2 linked regions of the Xenopus tropicalis genome follow. The protein of the gene in region 2 interacts with the protein of the main gene of each other region in a biochemical or structural test. Links are inferred from orthologs where the notes say so. Each region holds a gene or a part of one and is shown on either strand. Other genes may lie near its edges.

Evidence for each region. The genes of interacting proteins can lie anywhere in the genome.
Region 1: the proteins of rptor (region 2) and akt1s1 interact in a biophysical measurement, tested with the Homo sapiens proteins (2 studies listed by BioGRID and IntAct, with this or other methods). The link is inferred for Xenopus tropicalis from reciprocal best matches to the Homo sapiens genes RPTOR and AKT1S1.

Annotation. Positions count from the first base shown.
Region 1 is NC_030683.2:111,142,186-111,148,274, reverse strand, and holds the start of akt1s1 (proline-rich AKT1 substrate 1), read left to right. Parts: upstream 1-2,723; 5' UTR 2,724-2,782; intron 2,783-6,089. UniProt on the Homo sapiens protein: Negative regulator of the mechanistic target of rapamycin complex 1 (mTORC1), an evolutionarily conserved central nutrient sensor that stimulates anabolic reactions and macromolecule biosynthesis to promote cellular biomass generation and growth.
Region 2 is NC_030686.2:26,905,377-26,910,715, reverse strand, and holds part of rptor (regulatory-associated protein of mTOR), read left to right. Parts: intron 1-124; coding exon 125-249; intron 250-370; coding exon 371-475; intron 476-1,255; coding exon 1,256-1,303; intron 1,304-1,607; coding exon 1,608-1,714; intron 1,715-2,323; coding exon 2,324-2,451; intron 2,452-3,046; coding exon 3,047-3,133; intron 3,134-3,316; coding exon 3,317-3,433; intron 3,434-4,097; coding exon 4,098-4,227; intron 4,228-4,437; coding exon 4,438-4,506; 3' UTR 4,507-5,339. UniProt on the Homo sapiens protein: Component of the mechanistic target of rapamycin complex 1 (mTORC1), an evolutionarily conserved central nutrient sensor that stimulates anabolic reactions and macromolecule biosynthesis to promote cellular biomass generation and growth.

The DNA.
Region 1 (6,089 bases), on a different chromosome or scaffold from region 2:
CTGGGCTTTCCGAATTAGAAGTTTTTTTTTTGTGTAAAAAACTATCCCACAGCCACAGTGGCTATGGCTACTATAGGCACCATCTCTCCCTACTATACCTGCTATCCCACAGCCACAGTCCCTTCCCAGAGGCTATTATCCCCCACTGCTACTATAGGCACCATCTCTCCCTACTATATCTGCTATCCCACAGCCACAGTCCCTTCCTAGAGGCTATTATCACCCACTGCTACTATAGGCACCATCTCTCCCTACTATACCTGCTATCCCACAGCCACAGTCCCTTCCCAGAGGCTATTATCCCACTGCTACTATAGGCACCATCTCTCCCTACTATACCTGCTATCCCACAGCCACAGTCCCTTCCCAGAGGCTATTATCCCCCACTGCTACTATAGGCACCATCTCTCCCTACTATACCTGCTATCCCACAGCCACAGTCCCTTCCCAGAGGCTATTATCCCACTGCTACTATAGGCACCATCTCTCCCTACTATACCTGCTATCCCACAGCCACAGTCCCTTCCCAGAGGCTATTATCCCACTGCTACTATAGGCACCATCTCTCCCTACTATACCTGCTATCCCACAGCCCCAGTCCCTTCCCAGAGGCTATTATCCCCCCACTGCTACTAAAGGCACCATCTCTCCCTACTATACCTGCTATCCCACAGCCCCAGTCCCTTCCCAGAGGCTATTATCCCCCCACTGCTACTATAGGCACCATCTCTCCCTACTATACCTGCTATCCCACAGCCACAGTCCCTTCCCAGAGGCTATTATCCCCCCACTGCTACTATAGGCACCATCTCTCCCTACTATACCTGCTATCCCACAGCCACAGTCCCTTCCCAGAGGCTATTATCCCCCCACTGCTACTATAGGCACCATCTCTCCCTACTATACCTGCTATCCCACAGCCACAGTCCCTTCCTAGAGGCTATTATCCCCCACTGCTACTATAGGCACCATCTCTCCCTACTATACCTGCTATCCCACAGCCACAGTCCCTTCCCAGAGGCTATTATCCCACTGCTACTATAGGCACCATCTCTCCCTACTATACCTGCTATCCCACAGCCACAGTCCCTTCCCAGAGGCTATTATCCCCCCACTGCTACTAAAGGCACCATCTCTCCCTACTATACCTGCTATCCCACAGCCCCAGTCCCTTCCCAGAGGCTATTATCCCCCCACTGCTACTATAGGCACCATCTCTCCCTACTATACCTGCTATCCCACAGCCACAGTCCCTTCCCAGAGGCTATTATCCCCCCACTGCTACTATAGGCACCATCTCTCCCTACTATACCTGCTATCCCACAGCCACAGTCCCTTCCCAGAGGCTATTAACCCCCCACTGCTACTATAGGCACCATCTCTCCCTACTATACCTGCTATCCCACAGCCACAGTCCCTTCCCAGAGGCTATTATCCCCCACTGCTACTATAGGCACCATCTCTCCCTACTATACCTGCTATCCCACAGCCACAGTCCCTTCCCAGAGGCTATTATCCCCCCACTGCTACTATAGGCACCATCTCTCCCTACTATACCTGCTATCCCACAGCCACAGTCCCTTCCCAGAGGCTATTATCCCCCACTGCTACTATAGGCACCATCTCTCCCTACTATACCTGCTATCCCACAGCCACAGTCCCTTCCCAGAGGCTATTATCCCACTGCTACTATAGGCACCATCTCTCCCTACTATACCTGCTATCCCACAGCCCCAGTCCCTTCCCAGAGGCTATTATCCCACTGCTACTATAGGCACCATCTCTCCCTACTATACCTGCTATCCCACAGCCACAGTCCCTTCCCAGAGGCTATTATCCCCCACTGCTACTATAGGCACCATCTCTCCCTACTATACCTGCTATCCCACAGCCACAGTCCCTTCCCAGAGGCTATTATCCCCCCACTGCTACTATAGGCACCATCTCTCCCTACTAAAGCACAGACACAGGTGCCTCACAAAGGCTATTGTCGCTACTACTCTCAAAACCATGGCTGCCCCAACATATTGCGCGCTATGACATTTAGCACGGTCCCCGCAGTCGCCCCCCCGTCATTAACCCCCAAAGCGAGCCATATCCGCGAACATATAGATTGTAAGCTCTACGGGGCAGGGACCTCGTTCATCTTGTTTCTGACTCTTATTGCAACTGTACCTTGTATTTATTTGTATTTATTGTTGTACTTTGTATTTATCCATTATCTTTAACACCGTTTGTATTTATGTATTCTACTGTACAGCACTGCGTACATAAGTAGCGCTTTATAAATAAAGATATACATACATACACACACAACCAAGGACTATCAATAAATGCCCCAAACAACACTGCTCAATGCACTAACAAACAACTCCCCTCGCATACTAGAACCCCGCCCCTTTCTGAAGTAACACCACGGTACTATTTCAGCTAACTAACCCGGCCCCTCCCTCTGGGCGGAGCTAAAGTTCATCACGTGGGGCACGCATACACGTACGAGCTTTAGGCTAGAGAAATGATATTGATAATGTAATGAGAAGTACGTGTGCGAGTAAAGTCCCGCCGGTGTGTCGGTGTGTGGGGCAGTATGATGACCCTCACTGGGAGCTTGCCTATTGTTCCTAGGTTTGGGCAAGCTGAGTTGGCAGCCAACATGTTGGGGAGAGGGGGCGTGGCCTTGCCGATATAAATGGGGGAGGCGGCGAGTGGTGGAGGCTGGTGGCGGTGACGTCTGTAGCTGTGCGACCCGGGGGGCTCTGGTTCGGCTCAGTGAGGGCTGCAGGTAAATCTTGTTTGTGCGGCTTGCGGCTGTCTGTCTGCGTCCAACATTGCACGGGTAGGCAGCGATTGGGAGGGGATGCTGGGAGCAGTAGTCGGAGCTCTGCTAGCTTGGGCTGGCTGCATAAACGTTATAAGCCTGTGGGTTGTGCTCAGCCGGTTTGCACTCTTGAAACGTTTCAATGATTTTAAATTGATTTGTAAATTGCTTTTAAGGCTGTTGCTCTACTCTGCACTGCGGCTTCTGCCTGTATTACAGATTGGAAAGTTTTTGTTATTTTGTTTTTCTGCACAAAATTACTGGGTTTTGTTAGTTACCTGGGAGTTGAGGGATTTGCTCCTTTTTGCATGGCTTCTAATAACCAGGCTGTTGGCAATGCATGCTGGGACATTCATAGAGAGCAGGGTGCACATCTGGAACTTGCCATAGACAAAGGGTTAAAGTGGGGCTTTATGGCTCTCTGGCCTGTGGGTTTTCCAGGCCCCCTACACCTGTGCCTCCTGTGCCTAATGTCACTTGGAGTGTGCTAAGGAGGGACAATGTAGCAGGCCCTGGTGTCAAGAAACCGCCAGTACGCTCCATGTCTGTCCCCTTAGAAACCGCCAGTACGCTCCATGTCTGTCCCCTTAGAAACCGCCAGTACGCTCCATGTCTGTCCCCTTAGAAACCGCCAGTACGCTCCATGTCTGTCCCCTTAGAAACCGCCAGTACGCTCCATGTCTGTCCCCTTAGAAACCGCCAGTACGCTCCATGTCTGTCCCCTTAGAAACCGCCAGTACGCTCCATGTCTGTCCCCTTAGAAACCGCCAGTACGCTCCATGTCTGTCCCCTTAGAAACCGCCAGTACGCTCCATGTCTGTCCCCTTAGAAACCGCCAGTACGCTCCATGTCTGTCCCCTTAGAAACCGCCAGTACGCTCCTTGTCTGTCCCCCTTAGAAACCGCCAGTACGCTCCATGTCTGTCCCCTTAGAAACCGCCAGTACGCTCCATGTCTGTCCCCTTAGAAACCGCCAGTACGCTCCATGTCTGTCCCCTTAGAAACCGCCAGTACGCTCCATATCTGCAGACTGATGGTAATTGTATCCTTTCAGTGTGTGTGTTGGTAGGTGGGTGCCATTGCAGTTATTGTTTGCAACATTGGGTAGATAAGGGGATTATTATTTTCTCAGCAGGGGTGGCATTATTTTAATTCCTTGTTTGGAATATTTAAAAGGAAATCCAGTTTCTAAACCAAAATTTGTTAAAGAGCCCCACACAACAACAAAACTCTAATATACCTATCCCTGTAATCTGTTCCTTCCTAAAGTATGCATAAATACTATTTTTATATGCTGAAATCCAGCAGCAAAACCATTCATTTTTCTGCCTCATTTGAAATCCTGGCAGGGGAGGAGGGACTAAAACATGGATGTTTCAAATTGTAACAACTCGCAACTTACTGACCTCATGCATGAACTACATAACCCACAATGCATTGCACTGAGATTCCTTTCTTATTGACACCATGTGTGCAGGGGATTGTGGGAAATGCTTGTTTAGAACAATGCATAATCTATTTTGGTCTGTTGGGCACATTGTAGTTCATCTTTAAGTTAACTCTTGGTATCTTATAGAATGGGCTATTTATGTATACAGCACACAGGGCCATGTTTTCTATATAGGCACTCGAAGGCCCTTGTCTAGGGGTGTCCTTTGATGCCTATATATAAAAAAAAAAATTTTATTTTAAAATTTAAATATTTTCTTGGTTAAATCTGGCAGTGGAGCCGAGACAGAAGGGGGGGTAACCATCGCTCTTGAGGGTCAGGAAGGGGGTGGCTGAAGTCCGATTCCTAGGGCAGAGCTGGGCCCTTTTCTTCCAGAAAAGAAAGAAGAAAGCAGTAGGATTCCCAAAGCAATCATGTGCTACTTTGTAACCGCAATGAAAGTACATTAACCTTTTGACTGCCAGCCTTTGCAGATTCTTCTTGATTCCCAGTGGTTTGATAAAAGTTGGTACTTCAGTAGATTCTACAGCATTGACTTGCAAAGTGACGGGCTTTTAGGGACACAAACACTATTGCAGTGCTACCCATGTAACTTCCATGCAGCCAGCATTTTTATTGAGGAATCTCATACAAAGGATAGCCTGTGACTCATTAAGTCCAGCATTTATCTATCATTATGGAGTAACTTGCCTGTAAAATTTCATAACACAATGTAGATGTGACTGAATCTTTCCCTGTACCCACCTGCTTGTAAGTGTGTTAAAGGGATTATGTCATGATTTTTATGGTATTAGTTTTTATGGTAGGATAGTCTTTATTACTAAATTACACTGTGTACATTGCAAATAATTCACTCTACCATTTAAAATGTTATTCTTTAACCAATCTTTTTTTTTTTTTTTTTTTTAAGCTGTAATATTAGTGTAGGCAGCCATCTCAGTGCACTGCAATAGCAAAACCGTACTTGGGTTTCTCCTGCTTGGGTGCTATTCTCCTGTCTACCACTAGGTGAGGCATGGGAGCATATTCAGCAATGCAAATGATTTCTGAATACATTTTGATTATACAGTGCTTAATCTGTGGGCGGAAAAATATGGCAATCTCTCTCCAGATTATCCTTATAGGCAGGGGTCCCCAACCTTACAACAAAAGCACACAAGTTTCTGGGGTGCCAATTATAGGCTGTGATTAGCTATTGGTAGCCCCTACATGGTCTGGCAGCAGGAGGTTCTGTTGGGCAATTACACTGGGTTTTTATGCAGTCAAAGCTTGCCGCTAACCTCTTATTCAAAAATAAGCACCTGCTTTGAGACCCTTGGGAGCAACATCCAATGGTATGGTGCGTAACATGTTGCTCACATCCCACTGGTTGGGGATCACTGCCCTGAGAGTAACAAGGGAAAAGCCAGGGTCACCAAAAATAATTTTGTCTAATAAAAGAAAACTTAATATTAAGCAACTTTGCAATATACATTCATTACAAATTTGTAATGGCTTTTAATCTTTGTGATTATATTACTGCTATTAAAAGTAATGTTTGTCCTTTTCTCTGAGTTTGGAAACAATGTAACACAAACCAACAGACTGACAGACTTCTCTGGCTAGAGGAGACTACCCTTTGCAACATTGTTTAAAAAGTAAAAACCAGGAGTTCAGCAAATGCTGCCTTCAATAGCAATTACATAGCAATTTCTAAATACAGTTTAAATTACTAAACATTTTTAATAAATTCATATTGGAAAACTGCTTAGAATTTTCTTTTATTGGCAAAAATTATTTTTTGGATTGACATCCTTTAAAACGGGGTCGAACCAAACCCACA
Region 2 (5,339 bases):
GTGGTTGTTGCTCACTGAGTGGCTAGTTTGCTCTACATCAGTTACGAATCAAATTGCAATATAACCACTTGGAGTTGGTAATAAAGTTGATCACAAGAACCATTCTATTTTTTCTATCTAACAGTTTCTGGGACTGGGAGAAAGGAGAGAAGCTGGATTACTTTCACAATGGTAACCCTCGTTATACTCGTATAACAGCAGTCGAATATCTGAATGGCCAAGATTGCTCTTTGCTGCTTACTGCTACAGGTTAGACATCACTTTAAACTTGGAACTCTCTCGAGAGCAGTGTTTTTCTTTCCAACTTTTTTCTTCTTCACTGTCCAGTTGTAAATATGCTGGCCCAATAACTTCACCTCTGTGCCTGCAGATGATGGAGCCATCCGCGTGTGGAAGAACTTTGCTGACTTAGAGAAAAATCCAGAGATGGTGACAGCTTGGCAGGGACTGTCCGATATGCTGCCGACCACACGAGGTCAGTTACATAGACTTCCATAGGAAGTAGGATGCGCTCACAGAAGTCATATACACGTTTACTTGTGCATCCCCTACTTTTACCTTGCTAAGTTCTTACTTTCCTCAGAGCTTCAAACCCCACATTTAGCAGAATCTTTCATAGGTCTTAAAATCATACACTTTGTATTCTTTTGGTGTCTTGATCTTACAATAATCTTTTGTTTAATGAAATCTTAGCAGACATGTACATTTGTGTAGCTTGATAATCTGCACCGTGCATGAGCAACCTGTGGTCCTTTGGGGGTCTTTATTGTAAAAAAGTATCTCTAACAATTGAAGTCATTTATTGAGGTGTCTGGGAGCTGTAGCCCTACAACAGCTAAAGGGTTTCTAATTATGGGGATTTCCATTGTCCATCCATTCTGAAATCTTTTGTTAGTAGAACATATTTGATGGCCTTTTCCCCCCCTCTGTTACATGAAAATTCTATCCAAATTGATATTGTGTAACTGTATGTTTAACACTTCAGCAAAATGAACTAACTTTCTGGTGTAAATCTTTCTAAAAATGGAAATAAAAGCAGCCTGTGATTAGGTGTCATCATTTTATAAGTGGTTTCCTTATCTGCTAAAACATTGGCTGCTGCAATGTGTGTCATACCCTGTCCCCCCAGACACAACATAGCCATCTGGGTGTAACTTGCATTCCTAACTTTTGCCTTTCTTTGCTTCTGCCTGCTGCCTCCCTCCTTCCTGGTTTCTATCCCTGTCCCCTTCCCTATACCCTTTCAAACCCACAGGCCTGGCTCGAAGAGTTTCCATTTATCTTGACAGGAGTAAACAGGGGGGTAAGTTCTTCCTTCATTAGAAATCATCTGTATTTGACTATGGCATGTTTGTGCATACACAAGTGAATGTACACAGGAAAACATTTCTGTATTGTGCTTGTGTGATATGTGCAAAATAAAAATCTGACCAAACCTTGAAGAGTTGGTTCTGCCTATATATTATAGACTAATATTTGAGTCTGAATGCAACTGATTATTCTTTGTCTTGCTAACGAACCAGCTCCAGAAGCCATTTATGCATGCAAGGTTCAAGAGCAGCGGTAACATAATGTAAGACTAATACGTTGGCATCTTTCTATCTTAGGGGCTGGCATGGTGGTGGATTGGGAGCAAGAAACAGGTCTACTCATCACATCTGGAGACGTGCGAATTATCCGGCTATGGGACACAGACAGAGAGACAAAAGTGCAGGTAAAACGTTAATAAGATTTCATGGCTACCATAGATTACAGATCAACTGTATCAATCCCACAACCATACAAACACATTCAAGTGAGATCACCACCCAAAAAATGTAATTAAAGGGAAATGCAAGTCTTGAGTAATTTTCCAATATACATTCATTACTTTTTATTAAATAGTTAAATAATTATTTGTAGTTGCAATTAAAAGCAACATTCAGGTATCCCTTTCTGTTCTCTGGCTCTGACATTGTAGCAAAAGTGGCCTTTTAATAAGCTGGCTTCTGCTACATTGTTCTAGAAGTTGGAAACAATAGTACTGAGAAATTGTAAATGGCCAGACAGTTCTCTAAAGCAATTACTTTAAAGCAAATGCAGATTTTAAATAAATATATATCAGAAAATTGTTTAGAATTACAGTGTCTTTCATAAAGTAAAAACAGTCTTATTAAACAATCTTAAAGTTCTATTAAAGAAGCACAAAGGCCTGCCATATGCAATCAGGGAACAGTTATTCTAACCTCTTTTCAAATGTCTTGGGATTGCAATGTGAAGATTTCCAGCATTTTGTCTCTATGGCCTCTATATACTCAGTATATTGATGTCGTTATTCTTTAAGGATATACCCACTGGAGCAGACAGTTGTGTGACCAGCCTGTCATGTGACTCTCATCGTTCCCTTATTGTGGCTGGACTCGGAGATGGTTCAGTGCGAGTGTTTGATCGCAGGATGGCACTGAATGAATGGTAAGATTTTGCTTCTTTCATTTATGGTAACAGGCTAGCTCCTTGTCTGCCCATGTGTGGCTGCCTTCTGTATTGCATCAAACATAACAGTCATTTGGATAATGAAGAGGGAAAAGTCCTGGCTAGAAAGACATGTAGTAAAAGGTAACACAGAGTACTAGTTTGTAGCTGCAAACTGATCTGCAAAAGAAGAAAACACATATCACCCTAAGAAATAATTCCTAATCCTATGTTGTCATTCTATTTAAGCAAAATAAACTTTACTTATACTGTATACATTATTTAAATCTTGTTTCCTTCATTTATTTGTAAGTCCACAATTATGGCCTACAGGCAGGCTTTTATGTTTTGTTTTATGGAGTCTGTTACCAAAACAGGCTTTGCGTTATCCCAATTTATGCTCCACAAATGAGGACTCGATGCACACATCCGTGCACAGGCTACTCAGTTACGTATACTGAGAAGGGCAGGGGGCATGTGAGAAGGTTTGTGACATCTATGCAGAAATAAAATTGAAAGTGTCCTTAAAGATTGATTCAGGCTATTAATGAGCATTATGTGACACTTGAGTTGTATTTCATGTTTTTTCTTACAGCCGTGTAATGACGTACCGAGAGCACTCAGCCTGGGTAGTAAAGACTTCTCTCCAAAAGCAGTCCGATGGGAATATTGTGAGCGTCAGGTACTTAGTTCTGCTAACAATAACTTGCTCTAATTGTGTTCTGTACTGTTTCGTTTGCCTTATGCAACATAGTATTGCTGAGCTAATCCTAAAGGAATCCTCAGACTTTGTATTTCCTAAAAATATGTTGTGCATGTCACCCAGTTGCACAGAGATGTCACATCCAGTCTTTCATTTTCACAGTGTAAATGGAGATATCCGTTACTTCGACCCTCGTATGCCAGAATGTTTAAACTCACTGCAGATTGTGAAGGGTCTTACTGCGTTGGATATCCACCCACAGGCTAACCTGTTTGCATGGTAATGTGTAGTGGCACGTACTTATTCTATAAATGCAGCGAGTGCTGGTTTCAGTTAGGTAAGGCTTGTCCAACTGAAGGCCCTCGGACCAGTTATGTTTCCCAAGCACATGTATCAGCCACTACCTGTCTATATACTTCATTTTAATCCTAATATAAACCAACCAATGAGCATGTTGGCATACTACCTGTAAAAAGACAGCAAATCAGGGAATACAGGCAAATTCCAAATCTGCTTTGGGTTTTTTTGTCTTTGTCTAGATGCTTGAACAAAACATGTTTGCTTGCAGTCGTGGAGATTTTGATTGTACTGGGTAATCTAAGCTAATTCGAACCAAGGGTGCAGTTTTACAGCATTTGATGAGCAGCCTTAGCTATAAAATCTGTCTTTGATCTGTCTTTATTAGATCATAATATTGCGTTCCAGGAGATCACAGACATTGTAAAATATAGTCCCATATAACAAGGTTATATCTGCTGTATCAGGGTATATTCTCTTTTTCTAAACTAAACTTGATTTAATCATAGAATAATTTTGTGCTACGATTTCTGTATGTTTTGAGGAGTATAGAAATACTGATTTATAATATAAAACTATATATGTTACTGCTTCACTGGAAATTAACCTGTTCACTTTCTCCTTGGAAATCTCCACTTTGTTTTAGTGGTTCAATGAACCAGTTCATCGCTATTTACAATGGAAATGGAGAGCTGATCAGCAACATAAAGTACTACGATGGATTTATGGGACAAAGAATAGGAGCCATTAGCTGCCTGGCCTTTCATCCTTACTGGGTTTGTGTCTCTATAATAAGGATTTTTATGGGTTCTGGTGCTTGAAAGGCGAGGAAAAAGGTTAAGACACCTGTGCAACAAAAGGCACAAGTGAACTTAATTGTTCTTATTCTGTGTAAGAGGTACTTGTACCTACAGTATACAGTGGGATGCTACTGGAAATGCCATATTAGACACCATTAATTTCTCATGTTCTCTCTCTCTCTGCAGCCCCACCTGGCCGTTGGCAGTAATGACTATTATATGTCTATTTACTCAGTGGAGAAGCGAGCGAGATAGCTGTTTGAAGGAGGTTTCCTCTAGGTCTTCGTCTCTTGCTGTGTATATAAGCGAACCATGGCCTCGAGTGATTTCATTGCTGCTTCTCAAAAAATGAAGAAAACTACTTTGAATGGACTAAGCTAATGAACCAATGAAATGACAATACAAGGCTTTTTTACTGCCTGTCTGCTGCCTCATTTCAATGCAAAATTACAATTTATCTCTGAGGTGGTGAGGGCATTAAAACATTTGCTATGCTCTTGAATTTGGAATGAAACACATTAGGCTTTAGCTGTGATTCCATAGTTTAAATCCCTTCCTTTCATGCTGCATGGACAGCTGATCCGCTGTCTCCTGTTTTGAAGACATCTCATGTTTTGACAAGACTCTTTAGAATGGTTATCTCCTACTTGGAAAAGACTGGGCCCTGCTTCAACCTATGAGGCCAAATAATTCCGTCCTCAACAGGTGCAACCAATTGCGTTTCTTTATGCAGACCTCCTGTAATAGTAAACCAATCAAACAAAAGATAGGAGTTAAATCTCTGGTGTTTAATGTTTGGCTATTTTGCAGATCATTTTCATGTTGGCCATCCTCTACGTTGACTAGGACGTTACTTGCAGCACTTATTTGCTCTTCACCCCATGTAGCTACAGAAATAGGTGAACATTTTTTTAACGGGCAAATTATTTATTTTATCCTAAAGAGAAGTATTTCAGTAACATTTACTATAAAGGGAGAAATCGTGCAATTCTTATTTTTTAAATATGCTATTGGAATTTCCATTTCTCCTGGTAAAAATTCCACAGTCACATAAAGCCCAGAGATCTGCAGAGTGTGCTTTGGTGTTT